2 linked regions of the Neodiprion lecontei genome follow. The protein of the gene in region 2 purifies or fractionates together with the protein of the main gene of each other region. This does not show direct contact. Links are inferred from orthologs where the notes say so. Each region holds a gene or a part of one and is shown on either strand. Other genes may lie near its edges.

Region 1 (6,912 bases), on a different chromosome or scaffold from region 2:
GTAGCTGTTCAAGCAAAGTACAGTTTTGGATAATTCTTTACAATCAGTGGCACTGCAGAAATAAAAGATCAATAGCACTTTCAATCGACTATAGCATTTCACATTGTGTTATATAATAACGATTCACAAGATACTTCGTAACCTACTCTGTTTAATTACATTTTTTGATTAAATTCTTCGACATTCATACACTGGAAGGTCCAACGGGTTTGCAACCAAAAAATTCACTTGCCAACACTTTTGCAAATTTGGTTAGTCAATTTTTTTATAAGCTTCAATGACAAAAGTCCGTATTTCCAAAAAACTATGTACATGAGCATATGCGGAATTTATGTTTCAAATTTGCGTATGCATTTTTTTCTCTACGAGTACTATGCATGCCTAGTAACTCAAGATTGAGAATTTCTGACACATCTCTGCTAATTATGACACTTTTCTTCATTCATTTAATGAATGCCATTTTCTATTTCAACAGAGGTCAAAAACTGGCGCCACTGCCATATACAGTCAAAGGAATGGACGTGTCATTTTCTGGTATCTTGAGTCACATTGAAGAACGACTACCCAAATGGTTGAAGAATGGCGAATATACAAACGCAGATCTATGCTTTTCTTTACAAGAAACTTTATTTGCAATGTTGATAGAAATAACAGGTAATTAAATAAGCTGACAAGAAAAAAATGCATTAACTTTTTAACTTGACATCAAACCGTTTATTTTGTTTATCTAACAGAACGAGCTATGGCACACACAGGATCGCACGAAGTTCTTATAGTTGGTGGTGTCGGTTGTAATTTAAGACTGCAGAAAATGATGGCTGAGATGTGTGAGGAAAGAAACGCTACCCTTTATGCAACTGACGAACGATTTTGTATTGACAATGGAGTGATGATAGCTGTTGCCGGTTTATCACAATTCAACACGAGTGGTCCCACACCCTGGCATCAAACCACCTGCGTTCAACGATACAGAACAGATGCTGTGCATGTAGCTTGGCGAATTTGAGTCTTGAGGCGTAAGAACGAAATATTACATAATTGGATGTGTGGTAGGGGCGTGGCCTACATCTCGCTGTCAGGTGGAGAAAATTAAAATTGATGCCAGTAGGGTCAGTGAGAGGCTCTATTGGCTGGTTCTATCAGAATGACCTCACTGTTGATGGTTCAAGCGCTGTCCGCAGTTTGGCGTAGCAGACTATCACAGATGCCAATGTTATGAACTTTTCAATTTAGTAGCCATAAAGTACGCCAGTATGGTTGCATTTTGCTGCCATAAAATTGAACCTTATACAGAGACGTGTTCAATTGAGCACAAGTTCAACTGTAGGGTCGGAAAACGCGACCATAATGGCGTATCTTACGGCTTTTACATAAAAAAAATAATGTTCACACCAAAGCCATACAACTTTCTGGCTTTGGTTCAAAAACTACTATTGCATGAGAATTTCAAGAATAAAATGAGCAACTTATATGTATAGTATATACAGGGTGAGTTTTCTCCGGGGTCTGATCTGGGAGGAGCTTGGATGTGCTGAGAGTCCGACTTCTATTCATACTCGTCCGCTTCAAAATAATAGTGTGTGATTATAGAGCAGATACGCTTATCTCTAAATCTGTTTACGTCCACACGTATAGCACACATCCGAAATACAATCTACTCACATGAGGGATTGTTTTGATAGCGGGATACAAGCATTGACACAGGACGAGTATGAATAGAAGAAGGCGGACTCTCACATATCCAAGCTCCTCCTAGATCAGACCCCGGAGAAAACTCACCCTGTATATAACGCAAGTAAGTTTGCTTTGATAAACAATTGGATCAATACCTGTACATTTGTATATAATGTGTGACAAACATACATAGATATCCACGTTTATTCACGAATTCTGTACCTAATATATTATATTTATAATAAAATATACATTTATGTACATGATACAGCAAAAACTTCATAGCGGTGACAAGACAGATAAATATCAAATTTCCAGACTTCCTGCCGTATTTTTTATGCTTTCTGTACACAGGCCAGCATTCAGTTTTGTTTGATTGCCATTATCTTATTAAATAATAGTCTACAATACTGTACTGACATGTGGTACAGAATTATTTGTTAAATTTGTCAAAAACAAGTTGAATATTGAAGGTGAAGACTTTTGAAAAAGACATCTTACGTTTGGAGTACCATAATTCCCTGTCTTCCTCATCTGTCACCAGCCTGAATATTATTACTGACACTTAATGTTCATATGATATTGGTACACATAAATACGTGTAAGTGATATATCGTTTAAAATCATTGTGTATTTTTCTAGATTCATTCAAACTGTCCAATATAAGTAGGTATTTACCAGGAAGTGAACGAGACAAGTTTTCCGAGATCCGTTCCAAATTGCTACCTTCTTTGATGTTAATATAAAGCAATACGCATATTTTCTAAATCAGATTGATTCATTAAATCGAAAGTTTGTTTTAACAATTGAAAATGCAATGACAAGATTGCATTTAATTTTTCACAATTGACAAGCAGCGATTAACAAAATCTCAATGCTAAGCTTCATTTTAGTAATCATTCGACAAACATAAATACTAATTATACTGATCCGTGTATAACTTCTTACTTAATTATGCAGAGCCCCCCCACCCCCACTCACTCACAATAAGTAGCCAGCGGTTACCCTGACCCTGTTATTTGAGCATTATTGTATTTATTAAATGTGCTTTACCATCAGAGTGAAGAAAGGAACTATCTTTTGTTGGAAGTACTGTAGTGCAGAATTCTCTAGTTCCAGAAACTTACTTTGCAAGCACTCGAGCAAAAACTGGTAGGTATATTATTAAATTTGATATAATTAATTTTATCAACATATAACAGGTCAACATTGAGATATTCCCATAAATCTTAATTATCTTCAAATAACAAATTGTACCACCATTTACCATGGAAAACTAATCAGGCAACTTCGAAATAATGTTTTCATACTGCATTAAATTAACTCTATCATTTTTAAAGTTGAGAAAGTAGAAAAAAAACTATCTATCTTCAGAAATATATATCGTATACACGAATATATACATGCATATGTGTATGTATATAGGGTGATCTAGAAATATTGCCCCATAAGCTACCGTTGTATTCTTCATGAAAATTTGCGACTATAATGATATTTCTCATAGTAAATTTGTTATTTGTAAATTACTGTTTGAAATTGGCCAATTCGATAGCACTTGATGGCTCAGGGCAGCTGCTGAGTGCACAACAAATAAATGGGGTTTCGCCAGCCCTAGCAATCCTATTCTGAGCCATTAAATGCTACTGGATTGGCTAATGTGAAGTGGTTGTAATTTATAAAGAATAAATTTTCTATAAAAAAGTAAAAAATTTTTTAACCTCAGATTTTCACAAGGAACACATGGGTAGCCTATGGGGCGATAGTCCGGTGTCATCCTGTACATAGTATGTTTCATTTACTCCCAGTTTCTTGGTATACTTGTACACTCACTCTTCATAAAATATACAGATGTAAACTTGGTTTAATTAGGTATACACCTTGATTACTGGCCGAGAGGCTGGCCACGTCCCCATTGATAACCACCATACATATTTCTGCCCGGTCTCTGTGGTTCCCTTTGTGAAGGAGCGGTTCCAAACCCTCTGAGTCTTGAAGGAGGGAAATAAGCCTCGAGAAATTGAGGTGTGGCCAATAAATCTGGACCTCCGAATTCTTGAGGGTATTTAAACTTCAGGAAGAAGTACAAATGTCCCACTAGAATACCAACCAGTTCCAACATTCCACCGCCAGATATCACAAGATTGAAAGCAAAGAGAACCCATGGCAGATACATTGCTTTAAACTGCGTCCCTGTAATGACAATATCACATTGTTTTCTGTGTTTCTTGTTTTTTTATTTAAACTCCACATTAAAATAAGTAAATCGGGACAGTAGGTGAATAACACAAGATAATAGGTCATACATTTCTGTGACAAAACACGGCAGAAATCCTGCTCGATATTGTAGTATGAATAAATAGTGAATGTAGCTTTTATTTACAAGTATGCTATCTGATAAAGAAAAGAGTGAAAATTTTATTATCACTTTGATAGATACTACAAGTTTTTGCTTAAGATTTTTGCTTGTTTCATGCTTTGATAATGAAATTATTTATAAAATAAAAAAAATTCATTTGAATCGCCCAATTGTCCAATCTTTACTACGACAAAACTGTTTTTTTTTTTATGCAGCATATTTCGAAAATCAAACAAATAGGGTTTTAGAATTCCCAATGCAATCAATTGTTTTAAGAATGATGAAAATCAAAAAAATCAATAGACTATTGACCCATTACGCTAACTTTTACACCTGTGGACTTTCAAAATATGGGAACAATTCAAATTGGGTTTTGGATATTTGGATATTTTTTTTTAGGCATTTTGTAAACCATTCAACCAACTGCAGTAGCTAAATATTTTGCCATTACGTTTGTTACATTAACACAGCAAACTAGAATATCATTATTCTACAGGGAATGTGTTGGGTAACTTATGGAATAAATTGGTGTACGATTACAGCTAACCTTGCCGATCAATATTAAGTAAAACAAGTTTGAAAATAAGGAGCGACATTAAGTCTTATGCATCTATTTTCTTACCAAACCAAAAATTGACAATAGTGTCTCGGTTGAGATGACACCATATGTAGAGTACACTGAGTACCATAGGGTCCATGAGAAGTGGGAATTCTCCAAAGAGTCCAGCGATGACACAGCAAACCCAGTTAAACAGAAGCATGTAGAAATAATCAGCTGGTCGTCCATCATACTCGCCACGTTCGAGCCTTACAGAATAGTTGTAGATGAAATAACAGTTGATCATAAAGTGAAACCCAGTTGTTGGTCCAAGGGGATAATAAAATACGCTGGTAACGGCTCTCCATATCTCGAATTTGTGAACGAATGGAATGTAGAATAAAACGAGTCGTTCCGGACTGAAAATACCGAATCTTCCCAAAAGAGAGCATCCCACGGATAAAAGAAGCCACCATCTAGTAAATAATGGCTGGGCATTGAACCACTCTCTCAGTTCTGACATTTTTGCACCGTATTATCTATTCAACCACTTTTTGATGTACGGCACAAATCCAAAAACCGCGACGATTGTGTATTAAACCGTCAGATGACAAAATCCACCACTTCGCTGCCGACAACGATTACTCCGAAATTGCAGCATTGGCTAATGCATAAGACACGGTTGATCTAAACTATACCAAGAGAAGAAACCTACTTGTTTTCCATGCCTTAAGTGATGATGAAAGAAATGGTGCGTTCCGAAATTAGCTCCCAGTGCTGCCAACAACCATTTATCTCCTTTGCGCTTCCAAGTTCGTGAGTAGCTCTGCTTCTAAAGCATGTACTGCCGTTTTCCACTTATAGCGTTTTCCACTGGTTGCACTGAGTGTGAACTGAGAGCGTACTACCGGTAGATTTGTATTTCCAGCGTGTTCCACTGGCAGCTCGGGTGCGTGAATTTAGCACTGAGTGCGTAAAATATTGCCCTGAAATCGGGAGTCGGTGTCAAAGCAGTGCAATTATGGCTGCCGATCGTGAAAGAGTCTAAGTAGATGCTGTGACAGCAACTCTTTTATTAGATCTAATTTCATCTTCGTCTAGCAGTGATGATGGACTTGCTGGAGCCGAAAGATAGAGGAGAGATTCCCAAAATTTTAAGTTTCATAGGAGTAATCCACAGCATGTCCGATATCGAAGTATGGAAACACATTTTTTCAGCTTTTAGAGGTTAACTGCTAGGTATATTTCAGGAGATTGGGACAACTTGACTTGCTACTTATTAATTTTTATCTTTTCAGTGGAATTGTCCATTTTTTTTGCCCTTGTATGCTCGTGCCTAACATTTATGACATTTATTTACAAACAAAAAATTACCGTTGCGTTTGTTCAATTGGTTTCTTTATCACTTGCTTGAAAAAACTGATAGTCGCGCAGTCGGTCGAGTAACGTCACATTATTTGTGATTTAGGAGAAATTATGATCTAGTCTGCCTTTATACGTTTTACGGCGTTCCACTCAGAAGGTTTGCCCCGATGCCGGGCGACGCATGCACGGAACGAGTGCCCCCTGTTCGAACCAGTGCGCACTCAGTGCAACCAGTGGAAAACGCTAATAGAGATCAGTAGAGTCGGCCAATCGGATCCTGCGAGACAAAGAAAGGATGTAGCATTACTACTTCTCTCTCTATATCGTTTTCCGCTCATACGGAAGAGTGTACCAGGGCTTCCTTCATGTCTATAGGTATTTCTAGGGCCAAGGTAGAGCCAGTGAAAAACGCTGTAGGTATGCATCTTAAAAATATAATTAAAATTTTTATGATAATGATGATGATGACGGTATTTGTATATTGGCACAATGCCGTAAGGGACATAGCCAACAGCAAAAAAGAAGGAAGAAAAATAAGAATATTTAAAAACGTTATCTGACGTTGTGGCTGAATATCGAGCTAGATATTTTTTGAAACAAGTTACTGTGTGTACAATGGCGTCTGTCATATGAGTTTGAAGCCGCGCTTGAAGCCGCGGGTCGATCAAGAAAGAGGCAGTGTGAGTGGTGCGTGGGGCGTGACCGTTCGGCTGATACATTAACCGGATTAAAAATGACGCTATGTATTAAAATCGGACTGTCGAAAATCTGAAAAGATGAGATAGACTCCGGTTCATAGGGAGAATAAAAAGAATCAAATTTGAAACCATAAATCGGAGGTGAAAATGACACTCTACGAATCTGAGAACACTAAATTACTTTGCGGCGCTATACTCTAAAATTACCTTAAACGCTGATTAATCTACAGTCGGGCTCTATCTTAGAATCCAGTTGAATTTTGCTTTTTTAATGTCGTATT
Region 2 (4,707 bases):
AACTTTTATAGTTATGACGGCTAAAAAACATCTAACCATGAAAATACACACACAACAAGCATACATACATACACTACACACCCAAATACACATACAAAATTGTAGATAATTTATAACAATCGCTATTGTCAAGTACTACGTATATATATCACTGCATATTATACCGATAATGATTAATAAAAGTAATGTTAGAAAAAAATCGTAGTAAACGTTCATCGCGTTAAATCGAAGCTCAAGAAACCGACATCGACTTCTACATTCTTTTGTACCGGGCGTAAATTACCACAGGTATGTGATATAAATTTAATTATATGAGTCTATTAATAATTGTACATCTACAAAATTACCATGTATGAAACCAATATAACACAAGCAATCAGTTTCGTTAAAACTTTGACTATTATTGGAAAAACAGCACAGTTCTCCAAAATTTCGACAGCCAAAAATGCAACGAAACCATAAAAAAATTACCTACGTTGAAAATAGCAGATTATATACAGGTAATGAAGAAAAATAACCATGTGTGAAGATTTTTTACACCTCTTTATTGCACTTATGTTTCATTTGTACAGTAATTTGATGAAATTAAAAAATAGAGTGTATTCTATCTCGAGTTAATATGTTAGATTCTGAAACTGTAGTGAAATACGAGAATACAAATCAAGTAAATATGGAGTATTTCTGTGATTTCGTTTAATACTAATTCATAAAAATCTGAAGATCAATCGAAGAAATAACAAAACATTTTACATAAATTATCAGAAGAGTCGCCCAACCACTTAAACTCATCTCGTATCAAAAAAAAAAGAACAAGAAAGAGCAAGTTACCTGTAATTTATTATGCTTGATAATACGGTTTTGAATTTAAGGATTTATTAAATAACCACCATACAGTGACAAATCAATTAGGTAATATTACTTTTAGATTGATATAATTAGAATCGATTGCGTGATAGATCATCCAAGTCTTAGGTTATTAATTGAGTTTGTATAAATGATTGATGTCTAAAAGTGTGAAAATTAACCACAGCCACCTTTTCCACAGCAACTTCTTTTTGGTGCGCGATAACCACGACTGGTTTCACCCATCAGAGGATTGTATTCTATGAAAAATAACAAATATTTAGATACCTATAATTGCACGAAAATATTATTGTTGAGTTGCAAAAATATCTATGCTTCGTAATCATGGATCATCATACATATTAACTCTGAATTAATTGTATACTTCTGTCTGGAAGAGAAATTACAAGCTCAATACTCATGTATATTAACATCTGGGATAACCGTTTCGAGTTAGAATCTACATATTTACCTGATTTGAGTGACTTTGAACTGGACTTTGAGCCTGATGCAGAATCATTGCCATCTGCATATCCCAATTTTTTACCGACATCTGTTCCTTCTGTAAGCTCCTTCAATGCTTGTCGCTTCTTTTCAATACGCTGTAAACGTCCAATAATTTAATTATAACTAATTGCGTAACACTGGATATGAAAATGTAGCTACTAGACAAGGAATTAAGAGTTTTTACTTCTACAATTCACTTTTAATACCAAACAAGATAAACTGAGAAGATAGAAATGAAACAACACTTTTACATGGTCTACATTTATCCATAGAAGTTTTAACAAACTACCTCTTGTTCTCGCTGTCTTGCTTTTTCAGCATCTTGCATATATTGAGCCTGCATTCTCAATCGTGCAGCTTCTATTGCAGCTTGTCTCTGTTGTAACATATCAGAGTCTAGGGAGAAGAGAAAACTGGTACTCATTAAATTCACAATTACAACATATGGGTTCGAAATTACAGAAAATAAACTCAAAGGCTAAGAAATGAAAGATGCAACGGAACGGCTATAGACCAGTTACTAATAATTTAGCTAAAAATCATTGCATGACTTAAATTTTTACTTACCTTTATGGTATTTTGCTGAATATTCGAATTCGTCTCTTTTTTGCCTCCAACTATTATACGTTTTCTTGATATATGGATGAAGGTAGAGTAAAACAACTATAGATGCAACTGCATACCACCCAAATGGAATGATCGCCTCCCACGCTAATGAAAAGAAAAGATCAAATTATAGAAATTAATAGCCAATGAAAGTCGTAGAACAAGGTAGTTTCAATTCAAATTACTGTAAGCTATGTTTGCCTATCTTCGGTACATGCCTCCAGTACGATATTTCGTCATAACTTACGATTTCATAGTATCATAAAAATGAGTACACATATAGTTATGAAGACAGGAATGAAGTCAAGATTAACAACAAACAAACGTCCAATGAAGAAAAGCCCTAGAGAAAAATTACCGTACTTTGTTTACTTGAGTTTATGCACTTATTTACAGATTCTATGGATGAAAGTGTTATAGAAACACAAGTAAAAATACGTCAGCAAACCTAACCTAGCCTCAAGCCCTAACTGTGAAAATGGTAATAAGAACTGTACTGCTATTCAATACGCACCACTTTCCACAAACGAATATGCGTTGTACATTTTGGAAGGTTTCGCGTATTCTCGCGGATCCAGCCGCTATTGAAGAGTCTTTGACAGCCGTCACGTAAGTCACGTTATACCAGCGTCAGTTTCGTTTATGATGACATTCAACAACTTGGCACATCGCCATGCTTGCTAATATCATACTGCATTTTCATCGTAAATGGTCGCTGTGCTGCTATGGCTTTTACTGTAATTTTTATCGAAGAATGGGAGAGTTTTGAACGCAGCCGTAGCAATCAGCAAGGCGCAGTGACCATAGGCTAGATTTTCACGAGCAGCAAAATGCTGCGGTAGCGAAAAACTGACGACACGGAACAGCACGGGCAATTGTTGCAGCATGCCGCTTGGTGGCGCCGCGGTAGCAAAATGCTGCCCGTGGAAATCTAGCAATAGAGTTCAGTGTAGCAGCGACACCGGAGAGCGATCGTCGCGAAGGCTCTGATTCGCTGAGTTCTCGCTCTATTATGCTGGTTGAAATGCTTGCAATTCTATTGCGGGGAAATTTGAATTAGTTTTCTATCACACCTATATGTTAAACCTTCAATTAAATAAACCTTGTGAAGTGAGTGCATCGAGTGATATCGTTCGGTATATCCCAATAGTCCGGTCTAAAAAATAAAACGAGTACTTGAACTTGAATTATTGTTCATTGTTTATTTAATATGTGCTTCTTTAAAAGTTATAATATTCACATTACTATTTGCCGACTTACAATCAAACGGCATTTACCTAATGCAATTGAAACTCGTTCCTGTAAATACTGAGATATTTCAAAGATTTACATAACATTTCACAATCGGCTTCGGTGTTTTATGGATTATTTTGCATCATCCCAGTTGTTTATTAGTGTAACGTTTGTGATAATGCGAACCTGCCTTATAGGGACCACTTACTACAGCTGCTACGGATATCTTCTGTTGATTCTTCCCTCAGGTATTTATAGTTTATAGTCTTCATCAGATTTTACTTACATGCAGTTGCAGCATATTATACAATAAAATAGACAACAGTAGCAGCAATGATTAAAGTCAAGTGATATAGATAAAAATGTTTCATAACGAATCCCTTTATTCAACGAAAAAAAATCGTTGATATGTACAAAATGATTATGTGATATATGATCGCAGTAAATGCATTACTCGCTACTCTTATCCCTAATTTACAGCTATTGTGTATTATTCTCATGTAGTGACACGTCTATAAATTCATAAATTAACAAGTTCCATGTAAGATGGAAAGTGCTACCTAACTGTCAAATAAGTTAAATTTAATGATACGCAGCTATTATCTACGTAGTTTTAGTCGCTGGTTGAATTTTATACAAGAGTTCAAATGATTAATATCCAAACTTATCATTAAGATTAGTTTTTCCATCGCCAGTTTGATTTTCTGGAGGTACCCACATTGAGTAATCCTCCTTGTATGTATCTTGTTCGTAACCTTTTTGCTTGTCCTTCTCCGCCTTCTCCAACCTTTGTTGTATTCTTTTCTGATTTCTCCGCTTTCGCTTTTGCACATCAACTTCCTCTCTCAATTTATCTTCTTTTGCTAATAATTTGGCTTCAGAAGAGCAGTCTATACGGTTTTGTTCTTCATTATTTTCGTCAGATTCCCTTCTATTATCACTTTCTAAAATACTACTCCCAGTTTCAGTAGATTCGCCATCACCAAGCGAACAACTTTCTGTCAGATTCAACTTATAAGCCTCTATTAATCTTGCATTAATAACTTCTTTTTCGTTCTCTGATTTATCATCATCTTCATCTGCCTCATTTGCTTTGTGGGTAATACTTAGTGAGCTTCCAACAGATTTTATGCCGCTTTTCTGAAAGCAATAAAAGTTTTTTCAATTACTTAATTTTTTTGATATTGAATAATCAACAGTTCATTCATTATTATAATTTTCAAAACAAAGTTACGAATCATCAGATTTAGGATTTAAAATTCATGTATGAGTAAAATTCGAACTAAATCAGGAATGTAAAGGACCAGGCGAGGACTCAAACTTACCAGGACTTTAAATTTTTTCCTACTGCCGATCATGGGTAGTGATTTTGCACTTTGTACGTTCTCTGGATCAGTAGATTCCAAGGATGTTTGGGTTTTTAGTGGTGGTAAATTAGCAGGCTTAGCAATGTTTACTAAATTTATTAATCGGTTCTCCTCCTTTCTAAGTGTTTGCAATTCAATTTTCATTTTTACA

Evidence for each region.
Region 1: the proteins of selenoprotein S (region 2) and derlin-1 purify together in Homo sapiens (affinity purification with western blotting; 6 studies listed by BioGRID and IntAct, with this or other methods). This does not show direct contact. The link is inferred for Neodiprion lecontei from reciprocal best matches to the Homo sapiens genes SELENOS and DERL1.

Annotation. Positions count from the first base shown.
Region 1 is NC_060262.1:20,812,098-20,819,009, forward strand, and holds derlin-1, read right to left. Parts: upstream 5,251-6,912; 5' UTR 5,092-5,250; coding exon 4,653-5,091; intron 3,865-4,652; coding exon 3,557-3,864; 3' UTR 1,007-3,556; coding exon of another isoform or gene 735-1,006; 3' UTR 687-734; downstream 1-686. Other genes in the region: probable tRNA N6-adenosine threonylcarbamoyltransferase, read left to right, coding at 476-654, 735-1,006. UniProt on the Homo sapiens protein: Functional component of endoplasmic reticulum-associated degradation (ERAD) for misfolded lumenal proteins. Forms homotetramers which encircle a large channel traversing the endoplasmic reticulum (ER) membrane.
Region 2 is NC_060263.1:27,349,644-27,354,350, reverse strand, and holds selenoprotein S, read right to left. Parts: upstream 2,716-4,707; 5' UTR 2,502-2,715; coding exon 2,471-2,501; intron 2,062-2,470; coding exon 1,918-2,061; intron 1,747-1,917; coding exon 1,640-1,746; intron 1,446-1,639; coding exon 1,316-1,445; intron 1,104-1,315; coding exon 1,021-1,103; 3' UTR 527-1,020; downstream 1-526. Other genes in the region: kanadaptin, read right to left, coding at 3,841-4,329, 4,515-4,707. UniProt on the Homo sapiens protein: Involved in the degradation process of misfolded endoplasmic reticulum (ER) luminal proteins. Participates in the transfer of misfolded proteins from the ER to the cytosol, where they are destroyed by the proteasome in a ubiquitin-dependent manner.